Lytechinus pictus: one gene and its partner. The protein of the gene in region 1 interacts with the protein of each later gene in a pairwise test. Links are inferred from orthologs where the notes say so. Each region holds a gene or a part of one and is shown in the gene's direction. Other genes may lie near its edges.

The links. The genes of interacting proteins can lie anywhere in the genome.
Region 2: the proteins of DNA replication complex GINS protein SLD5-like (region 1) and DNA replication complex GINS protein PSF1-like interact in a two-hybrid assay, tested with the Drosophila melanogaster proteins (2 studies listed by BioGRID). The link is inferred for Lytechinus pictus from reciprocal best matches to the Drosophila melanogaster genes Sld5 and Psf1.

The regions. Positions count from the first base shown.
Region 1 is NC_087256.1:9,158,708-9,169,656, reverse strand, and holds the start of DNA replication complex GINS protein SLD5-like, read left to right. Parts: upstream 1-6,162; coding exon 6,163-6,261; exon of another isoform or gene 6,262-6,347; intron 6,348-10,949. Other genes in the region: large ribosomal subunit protein bL35m-like, read right to left, coding at 104-275, 952-1,017, 1,766-1,897, 2,858-3,203, 5,994-6,033.
Region 2 is NC_087251.1:34,119,844-34,129,757, forward strand, and holds the start of DNA replication complex GINS protein PSF1-like, read left to right. Parts: upstream 1-4,869; 5' UTR 4,870-4,969; coding exon 4,970-5,044; exon of another isoform or gene 5,045-5,104; intron 5,105-6,678; coding exon 6,679-6,743; intron 6,744-7,159; coding exon 7,160-7,255; intron 7,256-7,641; coding exon 7,642-7,732; intron 7,733-8,141; coding exon 8,142-8,240; 3' UTR 8,241-9,914. Other genes in the region: coiled-coil domain-containing protein 97-like, read right to left, coding at 1,189-1,640, 2,002-2,704.

The DNA.
Region 1 (10,949 bases):
CTCTGGGTGATACTGTTCAAAGGCTTCTTGAAGTGATGATACAAGATTTCCAATCCACTTCCTACACCCTGATAAACAATCTCTCTCAAGTCTCGACAAGTCTCTATTGTTCTTTGACGTTACTGCCCGGAGGGATAACATCAAAGTGCCGATCATGATACTGTTCAAAGGGGTCATCAAGATAATGGCGCCTCTTTTTCCAATAACCAGACACCATCCTGTCGAGCATCTTGGACTGAGTCTTGTTGCAGAAGATGTGTTGCTTCAGTCGATGCCTGGAGAATACAAAACACAAGAACAGTAAAAAAAAAAAAAATTAATAAGCTTGGGGGTAAATTTAATGGGTGAAACCAACAAAAATAGCTCTTTATAATCAGAATAGTGTCGCCAAATATTTCCATCAAGAAATAAATGAATGAATAAGTCGATAAACAAAGAAATATGAATAACAAATATCTTATGTACATGAAAATACAAATAAATAGATAATATATAAATTGCATATTTTTTATACTACATTTTTTAATGTTCTTTGATAAAATGAGTGTTGAGACCGCAATTTAGCATTTTTAAAGCTTTTTTTTAAGGATTTACATTCAAATTTTATTACTCTATTATACCAAGAAAATTCCATTACTCTGCTATTGCTTAGGGGCATACAAGTTTCCTTTTCATTCTCCTTCATCCTGATTTAATGCAATTTTTTCAGGGAGTATAAAGGAGTACCAAAGTGAGGTTATTGCAGTCTATTGTTGAATTATAGAGATGGTTTCTAAACAAGAAATCCTTGCGCAAGCCATATCATTGTGTTAGAGCTGGGGACTTATATCGTTGGCAACCACTGCAATCACAGATATAAGGGCGACTTGACATTGTTAGGAACTGGTTGCCAAGAGAATGAAAGGCTTTGATAATATCCTGCAAACAACAAAAAACTTTGAGATAACTTACCTGCGTCGAGGTGATTTCTTCCAAAGCTTCTTAGCCCTGCCTGCTTGCGTCCTCACCCACAAACCACTGAAAAATAAAATTTTGCAAATAATCAAATTCAGAGGTAACTTTCCATAATTCCAACCCTGTGTTCTCTTCCCGTGACTCCAACATTTCATCTTTAATTCAATTTTCCCCCGTTTTCTTGTAGATCTCGACATAGAAACGTACACTCCTCCAATGTTTTAATAATCTAATCCAGTCCAATAGTCATTTGATAATGATACAGTGCCTTTTCCCTTCGGTAGCAAAGCATTGCATACACGCTACTCCATGGTCGGGCCACTGAAATAATAACAGATTTTTCTCTTTTCTTCAACCCAAAATGATAAATATTTCTAACAATAACCTTATAAACATCGGTAAAGCAACAATATAAATCCCCTCTTCCAGCTCTCTAACTGACCTTTTTCAAACAAGATGGATTCTCAACGATGTGTAGTTGAAACGTATGCCTCTGCCAATAACCAAATCTTTTAACGCAACTAGATAAGAATTTTTTTAATATTGATCTAATCTGACCACTAATCTTTTTTGCATTCATGAAAAATTATTATACGTATAAATAGGGTAAAAATCAAAATTCAATCTCGGCAATTATGTCACAAGCAACATGCATGCCAATTTCCATTGAAATCATGCAGTCAACAGCCGAGATTTTACAGCCACTCCCCCCCCCCCCTTTAATTTGTCATCTTTTACAGTGTTATAGAAGCTTTTAATAGCAGATGGTAACTTGTCAAGCTATGGACAATATTAAAGAAAATTGACCTACTTGTCAAGTCTATAGAATCTATCAATCACTGCATGAACTGTCTTCTTCTTGCCTTTGTTTTTACTGAATCGTATCACTGTCCTATTGGGTTGATGGTTAAATACTTGAGGTTTCACAAATTTCTGGTTTATACTGCCGGAAAGAAAGAAAGAAAGTAAAGAAAAAACAAAGTAAGGCAAAACCCTTCATAGCTAATCTGATTTAAAGGACCAAAGCATCAATGATGTTTCATCAACACAGATATCCCTAAAAGAATATTATTGCCAAACATAAAACACAAGCTTCTCCCTTTTTTTCTGAGATATGGATAAGCAATATTGTATTGCTCTCCTTTACAACAAAGCAAATTACACTAATTCTTGAATATTGCATGAGGAGTCAAGCAATATTTTTATGTTGATAAAATCTCCAATACATACATGTATTGTAGCCTGTGAATATGAATAAATATCACTGCTTTATAGAACAATCTTTACATGTATAACTCCAAATTTATGAATCTTTATCTGATAAAGATAATTTATCTGATTTCAATCATAGTAACAATTATGTTGTTTTATTTTACTTCTTTATTCCAATCAACCTAATGGACATAATTTCCCTCTCAATAAAATCTATTTTTGCTGTAGCTACAGTTACATGAAATGACATTATTGAAATATTGTGGCATAAAAATTTCAATGAATCATACCTCATATTGTAAAGGTGCAAAAGCTAGTATTTTAGAGTTTCAGACAGGGAGAAATGGTTATCATAACTTCAGCATCCAAGGAAAGGATTATAAACAGTAAAATCTAACTTCTTTGACTACATGTATGTGTGTGTATACGTTTGAGTTTTTACAGACCTGTATCAATTAGATATAATTAATTACGTATGGAACCAACCTTTAACATCACCATCTGAAAGACGTGATTAGGGCTCAAGCCTCGAACCTCTGCATCAATTTTAACTTCACCATGTAGCTTGGCTTACAGGTGCATGCCATATCAATAATAGTTCCCAATAATTCATGCCTCATTATAATATTGTAGCTTCATATCCCACTTGGAAGTACGCTTAAAGTATTCACAAAATTTGATAAAAACTTACATTTCGTTGTAGCTAAATCCCCCGGTGTACCTGCTACATATCAAGCTTGAGAAGGACCTTCCCTGGATCTGACCTCTAGCAACATTAGGAGCTGGAGCCTGGAGATTTAGCCCAGTCAGCCTGGAGCAAACTTGAGAGAGTTCAGAGCTCCTCCAGTGATCCTCCTGAATAGCAGTGGACTGGTGGAGGGGTGCAGAAGCAATACCCCTCAGGGATGCAAGGGTTACACCCCTAATGGGAGTGGTCAGTGGTGATACCACTCCATGTTGAATGCTCTTCTGATTGATACATCCAGTACGCCATGGAGTAGAAGCTGGTGACAACAGTTTCTGCTGAATTTGTGGAACTGTAGGATAAAATAAAAATATAAGTGTGTGTACACACAAAAAACATATGTTTGAAAAGAATCACATGATTCTAATTCTTTAACCTGGATTGAGTCAATGGCAAAAGTAATTAATTACTATCAACAATGTTTTATAAAATCAATTGCAATGACATACTTTTCAAAACCCACAAAACAAAAAAATATAATTCAAATGGAGGTCTCATTTTTTTCTGCTTACTGCTTGAATGACTGCCAGAAAAGTAGGCCTACTCCTGTCATATTTATGTAGAAAATGCTTTCAAGTATGTTGAAAACTTGCAGCCAAATCAAGACCCTAGTTGGTGGCATGAGTTTTATGACATTTTTCTTATCATTCTTTATTTGAGGTCTAAATTTGACCTCAAAATGTACATGTATAAATATATATAATATCACAAATTAGACTGTCTAATTTGTAAAATATATGCTAGCATCATAATGAAACATGATTTCATGAGGCAACATTATGCAATAATTACTAATTTTCTTTTTCTTTTCAAAAAATTCATTTTTATTGGTTTGCTTTATCTAACTTGGGTTGATTTTGGCTGTTTATTTATAATAAATGTAGAAAACAAATAAAAAATGTGATACTGATTATGATATTTTAAAAAATAAGATTTTGTAATGTCACATGCGTCACATGAGACAAGTCTGACCAGGCCAGATCTGACCATGGACCTTCTGAGACTAGGATAAATGTAGAGATCAATTATGTTCTTGATGCAAGTTCCAGCTGAAATTAAGGGAATTGGATCAATTGATTTAATAATTAGATATTGGAAAGTAAATCTGGGCAGATATTGAACAAAATTATAAAATAATTATTTTCCAATTTCTGCTCAGATTTACAGTAGGGGTGCTGGGATCGTCCCAGTTTACAGGAACTGTCTCAGTTTTCAAAGATTTCTCCACACAAGAAATCTAGGAAAGTTCATTCACCTGTCAAGTGCCAAAATCAATCAAGTGCGCTAGTCAATGTAAACATATCAGGTTTCATAACAAGATTATTGGAAGACAACAAGTCGTGAAAAATAGATGGTAAACTGGGGGGAATTGAGGTCACTGAATCTATTTTTAGCACTCTTAATCTCCGTAATTGCCGTCTATGTCCTGAAGGGTTAAGTGAAAATAAAAAACTGTCCCCATAAACAAGGACAATCTCAATTTATCAAGACATGATTTGTCTTGGTTTATGAGGATATCCTTGTTTTCTGGGACTGGGACAATCCCAATTTTTGGACCAGCGGCGCCTCTAGTGCTGTCTGTGTACGAGGAGAAATAAGAACATTTTTAAAATGTTTAAAAACTCCTCGAAATAGATGGCTGCAGCTGTATAAGCCAGAACAGGCAAGAATAAGGACTTAGCATGATCACCACGACACCCGCTGTAATAAGAAAATGCACACGCTGGAAATGGTACATGCATCAGTAGAGGCGCACGGCCAATATGGGAGACTTTTCTTTCTTTTGCAAAGCAAGTCTCCAATATGGAAGATTGTCTCCCATATTGGAGACTTGCTTTGCAAAAGAACAAAAGAAACGGAAAGACTTCCTTATGTCCCCTCCACTAATTAAAAAAAATACTTCTCCAAAACCCCCTTCTTTCGTTCTCTTTTTCTTCTTTTTTTTTTTCTTCTTACTTCCGGTTGGAACTTGGATTCGAACCTCTCGCTGCAGAACGAGCATCTCCAGTCTATCGCCTTACTCACTGAGCTAGCAGGAATTGTTGAAAGCCATGGGTTTCATAGTGGTTATCAACCGATATTACGACTAGTCTACTCTCCAAGAGTATTGGGTATTTATTTTTCTGACTAAATAAACCAATGCCATTGGGAATTACACACTCAAAATTCTGACGGAATAAAGCCATACTTTGGTATGTATCCAACTTTTCCTTCTTAAATCTCTTAGATATATGTTAGATAATTCTTGATAAACCTTCTCCATATTTCTTTTTTTTTTTCAATTTTAGTGGAGGGGACATATGGAAGTCTTGCCAAAGAAACAACGCCAACAAAAGCATAATTTTTTCCACCCAAAATTTTGTCTCACTGAGTCTGAGGCCAGAAGCCCATTTGTTTTGAAATTTTGTGTGTGGATGACAACAAAAATCCTTCTCAAAACAAAGTAGACTGTGAGTGTGAATTCTTTAAGTAAGCAGTGAAAAAGGGGTTAATTTTTCATGAGGAATCTGCTTATCACATTTTTATTTGCCGCCAAGGTCAAGGACAATGTAATCCTTTTGCAGCAAAGTTTCAGTTTGGGCTTTGCCTTTGGCAAAGGCCAAGCCAAAATAAATGTAAATTAATTGGTCTCTCAAATTGGAGACTGTCTCTGAAATAGGATACCCATTCTTTACAAAACTAAAGTCTCTGAACTGATATAGAGTATAGGAGATAATCTCTCTCAGACTCATGGGAGACAGTCTCCCAAAGGCCAAAGGCAAAGTCACACATTGGCCGTGCGCCTCTAATGTGCATTCAGACATTACTATCATGGGCACGTGCGATTCTTACACACACAAGTCAAGTACAAAAATCACAATTCCGTGTTGCAATAATTTAAATAGCACAAGAATTAAAATGCCGAAAACAGTCGCTGTGCGCTGAACAGTACAACACAGTCACAGACCCTTAATCAACCAATATATTCAAACTTCCACCATATTCAACAAGTTAAAAAATATCAACTCAACTATAGATCAAATCGAAAAACGCTGTCAAAAATAAAATATTAGCAAAATGTGAAGATTTAATTTCATTTTACCTAAACTTTTACCAAAAATTCTTCTCATGGAAGCTGCCATCTTTTTAGACTGCGAGCTGCCTAGGCGCCCTCTGACGGTCACTTGCACTTTGGGCAAAGATTCGCGCGAAAGTTGAGACAACGCAACACAAACGAAACCAAGACCAAGAAGTCAAATAAAACTACCAAAATGTCTGAAGAAATTGACGAAAGCTTAGAAAATGAATTCTCTAGTGATGAAGAGGAGGTAGAGATGACTGCTGCAGATGTTCTTCAAAAGTTGGAGGAGGTACCGTACATTTAACTAATTGTTTTTTGTTTTTTTCAAGTTGTGAATTGTGTGGCGGCCGCGGTCTGGTCTGTCTGTCTGCCAAGCTGGAGTAGAGTCAGCCAACAATAAGCTAGCCAACAGCAAGCCAGCCAACAGTTCCAGCCAACAATATTAGCTATCTAAGATAAATCAGATACAGGATTTTGCGTGCGCAGAATAGCACGCATTCTAGGACAAATCAAACAAACGGTGGGGTTACCCTTCTTTCAATTTGTTTAAACAAACAAGGGGCTAGTTCCCATGTCTTAGTAGCACTCCTGTTCAGGGGCGGCGGAGCGAAGTTGGAAGTGGGGGGCACAGAAGAAAAGGGACATTTCCTACCTTGAAAATGGCATTGTTTAATGCAAGAAACGAAGCGAGCGAGCCGGAAAAAGCCAAACAAAAGCCCCCCCCAAAAAAAAAAAATAAAAAATAATAATGAAAAGAAGAAGAAAAAAAAGAAGAAAAAAACCACGATTTTCTGGTTATTAGGTAGCCCGCACCCCTATATAATATAGGATGTTTCTTTGTATATTGAAGAGTAAATTAGAATGAATGTCTTCCTGATAAGGGCCAATTGGAAGATTGCTCCTGAAATATATTTTGGGTGTGTGGAGGGGGGTTTCCCTTCTTTCAATTTGTAAAGAAAAACAACGGGCTAGTGCTTTAGTTTTAGTAGCCCACACCCCTATATACTCTATGTTTTTTCGTATATTGAGGAGTAAATTTCAACTAAAAGTCCTCTTTATAAAATACAATTGGAAGATTGCTCCTGAAATATATTTTGGGTGTGTGTAGGGGGGTTTCCCTTCTTTCAATTTGTAAAGAAAAACAACGGGCTAGTGCTTTAGTTTTAGTAGCCCACACCCCTATATACTCTATGTTTTTCGTATATTGAGGAGTAAATTTCAACTAAAAGTCCTCTTTATAAAATACAATTGGAAGATTGCTCCTAAAATATATTTTGGGTGTGTGTAGGGGGGTTTTCCTCTTTTTCAATTTGTAAAGAAAAACAACGGGCTAGTGCTTTAGTTTTAGAACCCCACACCCCTATATACTCTATGTTTTTTCGTATATTGAGGAGTACATTTCAACTAAAAGTCCTCTTTATAAAATACAATTGGAAGATTGCTCCTGAAATATATTTTGGGTGTGTGTAGGGGGGTTTCCCTTCTTTCAATTTGTAAAGAAAAACAAATGGCTAGTGCTTTAGTTTTAGTAGCCCACACCCCTATATACTTTATGTTTTTTTCGTATATTGAGGAGTAAATTTCAACTAAAAGTCCTCTTTATAAAATACAATTGGAAGATTGCTCCTGAAATATATTTTGGGTGTGTGGAGGGGGGTTTCCCTTCTTTCAATTTGTAAAGAAAAACAACGGACTAGTGCTTTAGTTTTAGTAGCCCACACCCCTATATACTCTATGTTTTTTCGTATATTGAGGAGTACATTTCAACTAAAAGTCCTCTTTATAAAATACAATTGGAAGATTGCTCCTGAAATATATTTTGGGTGTGTGCTGGGGGGTTTCCTTTCTTTCAGTTTGTAAAGAAAAACAACGGGCTAGTGCTTTAGTTTTAGTAGCCCACACCCCTATATACTCTATGTTTTTTCGTATATTGAGGAGTAAATTTCAACTAAAAGTCCTCTTTATAAAATACAATTGGAAGATTGCTCCTGAAATATATTTTGGGTGTGTGCTGGGGGGTTTTCCTCTTTTTCAATTTGTAAAGAAAAACAACGGGCTAGTGCTTTAGTTTTAGTAGCCCACACCCCTATATACTCTATGTTTTTTCGTATATTGAGGAGTAAATTTCAACAAAAAGTCCTCTTTATAAAATACAATTGGAAGATTGCTCCTGAAATATATTTTGGGTGTGTGTAGGGGGGTTTCCCTTCTTTCAATTTGTAAAGAAAAACAAATGGCTAGTGCTTTAGTTTTAGTAGCCCACACCCCTATATACTCTATGTTTTTTCGTATATTGAGGAGTAAATTTCAACTAAAAGTCCTCTTTATAAAATACAATTGGAAGATTGCTCCTGAAATATATTTTGGGTGTGTGGAGGGGGGTTTCCCTTCTTTCAATTTTTAAAGAAAAACAACGGGCTAGTGCTTTAGTTTTAGTAGCCCACACCCCTATATACTCTATGTTTTTTCGTATATTGAGGAGTAAATTTCAACTAAAAGTCCTCTTTATAAAATACAATTGGAAGATTGCTCCTGATATATATTTTGGGTGTGTGCTGGGGGGTTTTCCTCTTTTTCAATTTGTAAAGAAAAACAACGGGCTAGTGCTTTAGTTTTAGTAGCCCACACCCCTATATACTCTATGTTTTTTCGTATATTGAGGAGTAAATTTCAACTAAAAGTCCTCTTTATAAAATACAATTGGAAGATTGCTCCTGAAATATATTTTGGGTGTGTGCTGGGGGGTTTTCCTCTTTTTCAATTTGTAAAGAAAAACAACGGGCTAGTGCTTTAGTTTTAGTAGCCCACACCCCTATATACTCTATGTTTTTTCGTATATTGAGGAGTAAATTTCAACAAAAAGTCCTCTTTATAAAATACAATTGGAAGATTGCTCCTGAAATATATTTTGGGTGTGTGTAGGGGGGTTTCCCTTCTTTCAATTTGTAAAGAAAAACAAATGGCTAGTGCTTTAGTTTTAGTAGCCCACACCCCTATATACTCTATGTTTTTTCTTATATTGAGGAGTACATTTCAACTAAAAGTCCTCTTTATAAAATACAATTGGAAGATTGCTCCTGAAATATATTTTGGGTGTGTGTAGGGGGGTTTCCCTTCTTTCAATTTGTAAAGAAAAACAAATGGCTAGTGCTTTAGTTTTAGTAGCCCACACCCCTATATACTCTATGTTTTTTCGTATATTGAGGAGTAAATTTCAACTAAAAGTCCTCTTTATAAAATACAATTGGAAGATTGCTCCTGAAATATATTTTGGGTGTGTGGAGGGGGGTTTCCCTTCTTTCAATTTTTAAAGAAAAACAACGGGCTAGTGCTTTAGTTTTAGTAGCCCACACCCCTATATACTCTGTTTTTTCGTATATTGAGGAGTAAATTTCAACTAAAAGTCCTCTTTATAAAATACAATTGGAAGATTGCTCCTGATATATATTTTGGGTGTGTGCTGGGGGGTTTTCCTCTTTTTCAATTTGTAAAGAAAAACAACGGGCTAGTGCTTTAGTTTTAGTAGCCCACACCCCTATATACTCTATGTTTTTTCGTATATTGAGGAGTAAATTTCAACTAAAAGTCCTCTTTATAAAATACAATTGGAAGATTGCTCCTGAAATATATTTTGGGTGTGTGTAGGGGGGTTTCCCTTCTTTCAATTTGTAAAGAAAAACAACGGGCTAGTGCCTTAGTTTTTGTAGCCCACACTCATATACATTCCTATATATTCCACGTTTTTATATATATTGAGGAGTAAATTTGAACTAAAAGTCCTCTTTATAAAATACAATTGGAAGATTGCTCCTGAAATATATTTTGGGTTTGTGGAGGGGGGGGGGTTAATATATCTCAATTTGTAAACAAAAAGAAAGGGCTAGTACTTAAGTTTTAGTAGCCCACACTCCTATATACTCCAGTTTTAAGAATATTGAGGAGTATGTAAAAAAAAAGTTCCTGATAAATGAAGAGAGCTATCGTATTTTTGAAGGGGGTGACCCTTTTTATTCAATTTTACAGTGCGTATCAATAAAAACGGGACAGTTATGAAACGTCTATCAAAATACCCTTTTGAATTATGATGTCTATATTTTGATGTTCATAGATGCTCTGAAATCTTATCGATCAAAATCAAAATGTTTTTTTTTTTAATTTGTTCATGCTTGAGTGCACACGAGATGGTTTTGTCGGGGGTTCAAATATAGGATTGCGCTAAGTGGTAGGAAATGAAGTGTATGGTTATAAGACTTCTTGCCAATCAGCAGATTATTTTTGCCATAGTTTTCAGATTTTGGTCGCAAATGTCACGTACAAAGCTGTATATTTACTTTACTTTTTCATTTCAATAAATTATTTTTTTAGCAATGAATATTCTTTCATACTAAAATTTTTTGTCAACCAAGAATGACCCAATTTGTAATTAGGAATTTGAGAGCTTGTAATCAATTCAAACCATTTTATTTTATGCAACAAGCAGATAAATCCTTTTCTGTTAGAATTGATGATTTAATATCCTATCTAACACACAATTATAATGATTTGAATAAAGTACAGCAAATTCACCCTATTTAACAACTAACAATTAACAATTAGGGGTTTGGTGAATGATAACATCTGTTCTCGTTGTGAAGTAGAGGAAGATATTAATCACACTTTCATTTCTTGTGATTTGAACAAACCATTCTTTGAATTTTCGAAAAAAATAATCCAGCAAATATTTCATAAAGATTTAGAAATCAATCATTAAAATTTTGTTTAAACATGAAGTAGACGAAAAATTAGTTTTACTTCTGACTATTGCACTTTGGTGCATTCACAAAGTCATCGTTTTAAGAAACATGAGTGGAAACGAAAAGAGAGGCAATCCCAGAAGGAAAAACCAGTACGGCTGGACCAGTTACACCAGTAAAATTTAATTGGTAACTCTGGAAATTGGAACAAAATATACTGGTCTGCTATAAGCTGGACCAGTAA
Region 2 (9,914 bases), on another chromosome or scaffold:
TTAAATTTCTTATGTATTTCTTTGTTTTTTTACTTTTTGTTTTTATTGTTTTTTCGATGGAAATTGTTGCAGACTTAATTTTGATCATAAGACAAAATTAATTAAATTTAATCAGTCAAAGTAGAAATAATGATACATTTATGAATTTTGGCTAAATACACAATTTGCTTTGGATTTGTACATGAATTCACATTTTTGAGCAGTTTTGGGTCCGACATGCACTTACATAATGTTACGTGATTTCGTAATCGCGTACCCGGGCATCGTAAATTTGATCTCAAAAGTTGCGCGAGATTTGAAAGTAATAAGTCAGCGAGTGGCGCAGTTGAAAAATTTCCAGCGGCGGATTTATCGTGAAAAATGTAGAGGGGGCGAATTCTGCCCCCCAGGCCTTTTAGGGTTAAAGACCAGTTCAGTGCACAAATGAATTAGCTTAAAAAATAAAACTGATCATACATAACAAAGTGAGCATAATGTCATTAAATGAGCTATTTTATTAAAATATGTCATGATATATACATGTATATATACACAATTCTTTTTCAAGGGACTGACAGGACTGGAAGCCATTCCATGTTTCATAAGTTCAATCATGAGCCCCCCCCCCCCCTTCCAGTTGACACAACATATGCTCCTGCAACATTTGTTTCAGTCTTAATATCTTAGAGGGCATAGGTTTAAAAGTTAGGATTGCAATAGAGTTTTGGTCCGGAATAATGTTAAGATAATGATCAGGGTTTATTTAGTTTTTGAGGTTAGGTTTTATGTATGGTGTAACATGCACATTTTACAAGGAGTAAAATGGGCAAGCCACTATAAGTACATGTACAGGGTATAAACAAAATAAATACGAAAGTACTGCTCATTTTAACCTCCAAATGCTAAGAGATCATTGTCCCTCCAATATGCATGATGAACCCAAATTGCAGTTGACCCCCGAAACAGCTCTCCCCTTCTGAGGAGAACAAGGCAACTTAATACATACGTCAGTATCCTTTGACTTCACCTCATGATCCCCCCCTCTCCAAAATAAAAGCTGATTTGATCATTAAGAAATTACATTATCCCTCCAAGATGAACCAAGTTAACCTCTCAAATGATTTCTTAGTTCTTGCAGTAGAGGCAAGAAAATACTTGATTTGATATGTGTTGGTCCCATTTTTTTCCAATAGCTACATCAGCATGCTACTATTCCATAGATGATTCCTCTGGTGTCCACTTTTCGTAATCATCCAATTCCTCATTGTCTGTCCTTGATGCGAACCTATCACTTCTACCTGAATTTCCTTGTTCTTCTATTCTGTGTCCTTCATCAGCATCGGCTGCGTCCTCATCATCAAAGTATTTCTCTTCCTCGTCCCACGCACGGATCGCGAGGGAATCGTACTCCTCATTGTTATCAACTGCTGCGTAATCAAAGTCTTGATCGCCTCCACTGAGGAACCTCTCTCTCATTAGGTTCTGGAACTCTTCTCTCAAGAGATGCTTCTCTGCTTCTGTGGCAGGAGTTGGCTGACGAGGGCTAAAGACTGCACCATCTTGATCCTCATCATCCATCATTTCGTCATCCTCTTCTTCATCCTCATCATCTTCTTTCCCGACAGAATTTTGTGAGGGTTGAGCCAGGGCGGTGGACTGACCTGAACATAATAAAGATAAATGAGTGTTTCAATTCAAACTTAGTATAAAAGTATTATTATATCTTTATAAGTGAAGGAAAACAAAACCAGATTACTTATGTTCAATTAGGACTTGTTCATTTTGAACATGATAGTTCTTAAGATGGTCATGATTTGATATTTGCTGCAGCTCCACAGAAATGAAACACATTTGACAATCAACAAATTACATAAATTACCAATTAATACTGAAGAAACATATGAAGAACAAAGTGATTATCTTAATATTGATACATTCATCAAGTATTAGCATGATTTTCTTTGTTTTTGCTAGCCAATGAATATCTTTACAATTTACCAATATCTGGAAGTAAGAGATCACCTTTTTTATCTCCATCAATCTCGTCATCATCATCATCATCTTCTTCTTCTTCTTCTTCTGCCTCTTCTTCTTTATCTTGTTGTCTCTTATACAATTCTTTTGTTTCCTGGTCCTGCATGAATGTCATGAGGATTGTTGAAAACTTTAAGTCCGTCATGTCAACCTTTGTTCTGGTTTCTGCACGCTCTTCGTCTGTCAAGTACTGTCCAATGAGCTGTTCATACATCAGAGGCTCCCTCGCTCTCATCTCATCATCGCTGAAATAAGTCCCCTCCTTCTCCAGCTTCTTTAGTGCTTCATACCGTCGGTTTTTCACTACCACAGAGTTATTTCCAGTACTAAGTCTCCTCTTAGTCATCTTGAGATAAAACGACACCTCGTACACATCGGAGGAAGGTTCGAAACACACAAGGTCGTCTTCACACAGGTAAGGGTGGAACTTTTCAATGAATACTGCAGGAGAGTGATGGAACTGTTCAGAGAGGATTTTTACCCTTTCACTTAATGACAGGTCTACATCGTCTCGTTGCAGGTTTTTGATGTGGGCATTGCTGAGCGCAATGTTCTCAAACATTCGTTGCTGTGCGTTCAAAAGTTCGTCTGTAGTGTCTATTTGTGGAGCAGATATCAATTCTATATTTTCTGGAGCTTGGATGCTTTCCGTATTGGGCTTGGGTAAATCTACCGGAGACTGCATCATCATGCATACCTTCAATATAAAAATACAAACACAAACATTTATTTCACTCACTCAAATTTATCACTCAATTATGTAAGCAATATATCAACTTTGGTTTCATCGACCATCAATTATAGTTTATATACATTCTTTTTTTTATTTACTGAACACCTTTCACATATTCAATGATATCAAATACAATTCAGACAAGCCAAGTCTCATATATTTAGGAGCAGGAGACTACATTACGAACTCTTGCTCATCCCTCCAAATCTCCTTCTTACAACTGTGTCACAGCCTATCCTCAATATAGTCTACAATACACATAATGCCTGGAGATATCCCTGCCTAAATTACACAGTATCGCTCCGAAGCTGGTCTTTTTTTAACTTTGCATCTCTGACAGCATTCAAATTCATTTAAATTCCATCACAAATAAATAAATCGGCACATAGATTTATGCTATGCCTATGACTAAATATTCATAAGGGTTGGGTGTCCGGACACTTATTATTAAAGCCTCCTCTTTTCTCTGTAGATGAAACATAAACAATGAATTGAAAAATTGTAGACAGCTAATCCTCGATCATCAGCCTATGTTCTCTTTAATTAGAACACTTTGTATACCCAGTTGTTGTGTGTCCGGACAGGTTGTGTGTCCGGACGATCAATTTTAGAAAGTCATTTGGAAAAAATTACAAGCGAAATTTCATCAATTTTTAGTACAAAATGTTAGGAAATATTATAGAGAACAAAATAGAAGATGATTACAACTATTGAATTCGTATTTTTAGTGTAATCCAAAGACAAAAAAGAAGGCTTCAAAAATATAAAGTGTCCGGACACCCGATCCCCCATCCTACTAAATGAATTTTATTTTTATCTGCTTGCAAAATTTTTAAATGACTGTTTGAAATTTATTGTTCGAATACACGACCCACAACACCTGGGTACAGATCTAGTCTTATAAGTTATAGGAATAGATCTAATACTTAGGATACACAAGTTACAAGTTCAATCTTATAACATCATGAACATAAGACATTGCATGCCTTTATTTATTTGTTCCTGGACCTGGATGAGTGTCCAGATTTAAAATTTCCAAAGAATACTCATAAATTGTTTGTCAAAGCAGTCAAACAATATTCCAAAGCAAACATTGATATTATTTAAGTAAAGAATGACGCCCGGGGGGGCCACTTCCATTCACGAGTGGATACCATGCGCGACCATGGGGTCTCGAAAAGCACCCTAAACACGTAATTTCCATATTCTGAAAATGCACCCCTTAACAAGTATTGGCGCGTGAAACCCTACCCTTAACAAGTATTGGAAACAAAACGATACTCTTGGCAAATATTCCCTGAAATGAACCCCTAAACAAGTACAGGAATGTTTTATTGTTACGGGTCCTTCGGTCGTCGGCTTTACCTTATTTGGTTTGGTACGACCCCACTTTCTACACCTCGCGCAAATCGGACTCTAAACACGAAGTGTTGGTGCAAAATGGACATCCTTTATAAAACATTTTAATTTTGTTTTATCATTCCCGCAAATTCGACCCTAAACACGTAATTTTCCTAGCGAAATAGACACCCTTTTTTCATTATTTTTGTGTTTTTGACACCCTTATCACGTTACGTACGTAACGTGCCCTATCGTGAAAAGGACATCCTTTTTACGTGTTTTTTTGGTCGCGCATGGTATCCACTCGTCAATGTAAGTGGCCCCCCCGGGGAATGACGACCAAACAGGTGAGCCTAGGTTAGATTGAACGTTAGAGTTTTTAGACAAATAAAAGAGAGGTGGGAGTGCACTTTCGCACCCCACCAAAATAATGCAGTGTTTCAATACGCCAGCGCCCCAATGAAGCGGGGGTGAAGCAGCGAGAAGGTTGTACATTATTTCGTTGACCCACCGGTGAGGCGAAAGCGCACTAGACCTACCGCCGAAGAACTTATTCAAATTCAAGCTCAATATCTTTCCAGTAAATCTACCAGTAAATTCCAATCCACTCACCTTGACCTAGATTATTAAAAATAAAAAAACGGCAATGCAGCAAGCTGATATCGGTTTTGTGTTCTAGGAAAATCGTCGTTGAAACTTGAACATCAAATAAATTTACCAGCTAGTGTCGAGCCTAGCCCTAGGCCTAGTCAGCCGCGCCGAACCGGCGCGCTTAAAGCTTGTGCTGCTGATTTTGCATATCAATATCATGAAGGCGCCTTGATTTGAATTTGGAACTAGATCATAGATGAATATTCAACTTTCTGAGGAGTTCGGGAAATCATGTTCGGAGAAAAGGCAATAGAACTTATCCATGAGCTTCAGAGAGCTGTCAATGGGTCGCTTGCCCCCTTTAATGTGAGTATAATCGGCCTTTTGAGGGTTCTGTTTATGTTAGACGTAGATCCCAGTCCCACTAACTTATTTTTGCGTTTCTTCCTTTTCTGTATGGTTGGAACTACCCCTTATCGACCACCTAATTTTCTAAGCATCGTATCTGCGAAAATATTTATCAGTTTTACCCAGTTTCCGTTTCATTTGTGCAGAAAATTGAGCAGATCAGATTCTCATGTTTCGATCGGCGACTCTGATTCAATCCGCGTATATTATATATCAGCGAACAACGAATACGACGATTTTACATAAATTTGCACCTAGACCAAAAGCTTCAGTCTCTGTAATGTATTTTGGTTGTTCCACTGAACTGCGTTGGCTCCACTCACAATTATAGTAAAATGTCAGATATTGTTAAATAAATCCCCAGAAACGATGGTTATTCCTGTCTAATTTGCACCCTTCTTTTGAAACCGACCACCCGCAATAGTTTACGGCCGATTCTTGTGGCGTTGGCGAAATATTTTGACTCTTCCAAATCAGTTCTATGATATGATGTCAACATGCTATATGATCGTCTCACTACTTCCACTGCGAGCTCCGGCACATGAATCGACGATTGACGACGGATATTTGTTCTAAAGCCGTTTCCTATCGGAAACGGGGCGGGTTCGGGTCTAGTCAAAACAATTTTGATAAATTTTTACCTTTTTCTCTCGTAAAATCTATTCTTACCGTTCCTATGGACACTGCGCCTACTCTCCCGCGCGTATCGTTTGTAATACGCAATAATTTTAATGCGCGCAAGGTGGTCGGTTTCAAAAGAGGTGGTCGATATGTAGTGGTCTCACTATACTTGTTGAGTGATTCATTGACTTGATACATGTATGATATAATTAAATTCATATGTTACTTTACCATGTAGCTAAACAAGTAGACACAGTAAATATTCCATCATTATGAAGGCGTTTGGCATTATACGTTGTTGTAGTCTTTCAGATTTTTTTTTCTTTCCTTTTTTTTCTTTTTTTTTTCTTTCTTTTTTTTTCTTTCTTTTTTTTTCTTTCTTTTTCTTTCTTTCTTTCCTTTCTTTCATCCATCTTTCTTTTTTTTTTTGTGATGCTGGAAAAGTTTTTTTTTCCAGGAGACGTTCATCTACAAATACAATACATGTGTAGCATCTTTATAATATTAAGTTAGACAACAGAAATCTTTTTGGAGTTTGGTCTTTAGAGGAGTTTTACACATTTTATTATGAAGCAAGACATAGTCCAGTTGAACGATAAAATGGACACTGACTCAATATTCTTCATTTTCTTCTCCTTCTCCTCCTTGTCCTCCTTCACTTCCTCCCCCTTCCCCTTCTTCTCCTTCTTCTTCTTCTTCTTCTTCTCCTCTTCCTCCTTCTTCTTCTTCTTCCCCTTCCCCTCTCTTCTATCCTCCTCCCCCTTCTTGGTCTCCTACATGTACTCCCCCTTATCATTCTCCTCCTTCTTTGATTTTCCTATTCTTTCCCCATAGGAGAGGGTTTCCAATATAAGTTTTGATCTCTCCTAAATCAGATATTCACCTAATTATTTGTACTAGATCTTTTTTTATAATTGTCATTGAACAGACTAAATTTGAGTTCAATTTAAATGGTTTTCCCCTTTTTGCAGGAAGAAGGTGTTAGGCAAGTTCTTGAAGAAATGAAAGCTCTTTATGATCAAAACCAAAGCGATGTGTGAGTATTATTTTGCTGGCTTTGTACAAACATGTATATGAGACTCTTTTACAATAAAAGTGATTTCAATTTTCAACACACATGACATGAGCATCTGTCACCTAACTTTTGATGTCTGCATTCAGATTTTTATTGGTACTCAGTAAGATCTCCACTCCCCCTTTCCCCATTACCACCGTCCTGTGCATTTTGGTGTGGTTTGTCAGGGATGCATCATACCGGCTATGCTTGTCATAATAAAAAGCAGATATGGCCTCTGGCTCTGTGCGATCCCTTGAAATTTGGAGGGGTTTAAATAATTTATACTGCTAAGTGCTAACCCGTTGTATAAAACAAATAATGTACAGTTTTCAATTTGACAGAAAAAGTAGTAGGTATAGATTCTGTCTTTCATTATGCCTTGGTGTTTGTTGCAGAGAGGCGACAGTTCAAGGAGAGAAAGACCGCCTTCCAGCTGTCCAGTTTCGTCACACATGTCTTGAAAGAAACAAGCGATGTCTCCTTGCTTACTTGTAAGTATCACTCATTCAAACATACAGTAGAGAAAATGTGGATTTGGAATTAGTACCCAATTTATTTCATGCTGGAATAGAAGACTCTGTCATCCTTTCATTGTTCATTTTTCTATAGGCCTTGGTAATGTAAACACATATGAAATTAATTGCAACATTATGAATTGAAATGTCCAAATATGAATCAAGAATGTTAAAAAGTTTGTTTAACAAGTATGGTGACTAACAGGATTTGTTTGCAAGACACTACATGACATTACAGAAGCAATGCTATATTTGACTATAATTTATAAATTTATCAATATATACTACAAACACTCAATTTGGTAGTTAATTGCCAGTGTAAATGTAACATTTGTTTCTGTACTGATGTTCCCATTTACTAGGCACAACAGACTGTGTATGATCCGTGATATGAGATGGGAGTTTGGAAGTGTGCTACCGGCAGAGGTCAAATACAATCTCTCAGAACAAGAGGTAATTATAAATTCAACAAAGTGTACTTAGGATTTATCAGATTTATATTTTAGGATAGATTTGAATGTTGACACAGAGTGGTTTATAGAGGGAGACATTCTGTAGATAAGATATTTCTTTATGATAGGTTTCTCATTTCATTCCTGTAATAATTTCCTTTTAAATTTTATGTAATCTTTTAAGCTTGCTTCCTTGGACTATTCCCACACCCCAAAGGATTTGCCTAAAAGGATAGAGTTACTCTGGAGATAAGATTCAGAAAAGCGTATCATACAGTGCATATAGAAATTAAAATAGTAATGATGATATTCAAGAAAATAAGTTTAAGGTTCTTTGTTTTTAGGAGCTCAAATTATGTGAAAGTATCTTTCTGAGTTTGTTATGTAATGATGACTATATTACTCTACAGGTGCAGTGGTTTACAAAGTATAACAAGTCATTGGCATCCTACATGAGAACATTAGGACAGGATGGACTTGATCTCACACAGGTAACATGTTTGTTATGAGACTTATGAGTATCGTTTATTTTTAATTATTATTTATTTTCATTATTTTAGGCTGCAATTTTCTTAACCCACAAGCTTTGCCTTTTTTAGTTCCCCCATTTCCTTATCTACTTTATTGTACATGAATGAATTATGGAATATATTTGTCATCTACTGTATTTATTTGTATATTTTTAAGGATTTGAAATGCATTTATATGATCTTATGTGTTGTAAATATGTTTTTTTTTAATGATTTGGAAATAGAGACACTGAATTGAATTGAAATTGTTTCATTATTATTTGTTTACTTTACCTGTGCCTGTGAAATGAAGAGTGATATGAATGGTTTATATTCACTTGTTGCTATTGTTGGGTTTTAGTAAGGCACAAATAACGTCCAGATGTGAATATTTATGCCTGGTGAACAAGCAGTTGTCTACATTCTCAGTTAGTCTCTAATACCACATAGGCAAAACCCATTTGGTCCACTATCACTTTGGTCTAATTGCTGTTTGGTCTACAACCCAAATTATTCTAATTTTGATCTATTGCCTAGTAGTTGGTCTAATTTCCATTTTATCTCCTTATTATTATTTTTTACATTATCTGAGGAAATATATATCGTAAATAATCCATCTAACTTTATAGACTGAGTAGTGTTGGACCAAGTGGATATTAGATAAACTGCCTTACTGAATTATCAGACTAATTGGTACATTGCCTAACTAGCAATCAGACCAAATGTTTATTCGATGAACTATGAAAATAATGTGTGGGATGAGACCAAATAGAAAGTAGATGAAAGTAGGTGCAGATCAATTAGCAATTTACCATCTGAATTACTATAAGGCCCCCCCCCCCAATCCAGTGGGTTTTTTTCCCCTTCACATTGTTTATTGTGATATAAATTAGGAAATGCCCTCTCTGTTAGAAATAGTGGATAATACGTTTAATTAATTTGCACACAAAGTAAACCTTGATATTGTTGTTGTTGTGCCCATGTATATATTTGAAAATAACGATTCCTGGAAGGCGATGTGCCAAGGTGCATTACTCTAGTTGTAATGATTTTAAGAAGTTATGTGATTGAAGGTTAGTCTATCATGCATTTACATGTTCACTTGTTCTATTTCGAAGATGAGGCAAAGCTGATTTGAGAGTATGTATACCTTACAATAGTATTCTGAGGATGCTACTTCCGGGGGGCGTTTCATCAAACAATTAGTCGGTGGTTTTCTCCGACTAAATGTGATTTTCACCGACTAATTTCATTTTCACCGACAATTTTGCCATCACCGACTAAATTCCATTTCATGAAAATTTGTCGGTGATTTTCTCCGACAAATTATTGGAAACCACCGACTAATTTTGTCGGTGGCCTTCACCTACCGACAAAACTTATTTTCACCGACTAATCAGCCTTTTGAGGGCCTTTGCAGCTAAAATCGATCAATTTCAGTTGATTTTGAATATAACATTTTAATAAATTGCTTATTTTTCATTTCATTGAGAAAATTCAAAGAAAATGTATTTATTTTTAGTCAATGACAAATAAAAAGTAGACATTTCAAGAATAATATTTTCATCTTTAAAACTATATTATATCAATCAATACATAGGAAACATCTTCAAATGTACACATTTTTTCAAACATAATTTTCTTTAACCCAAATAAATCATTGTGCATTTTTTA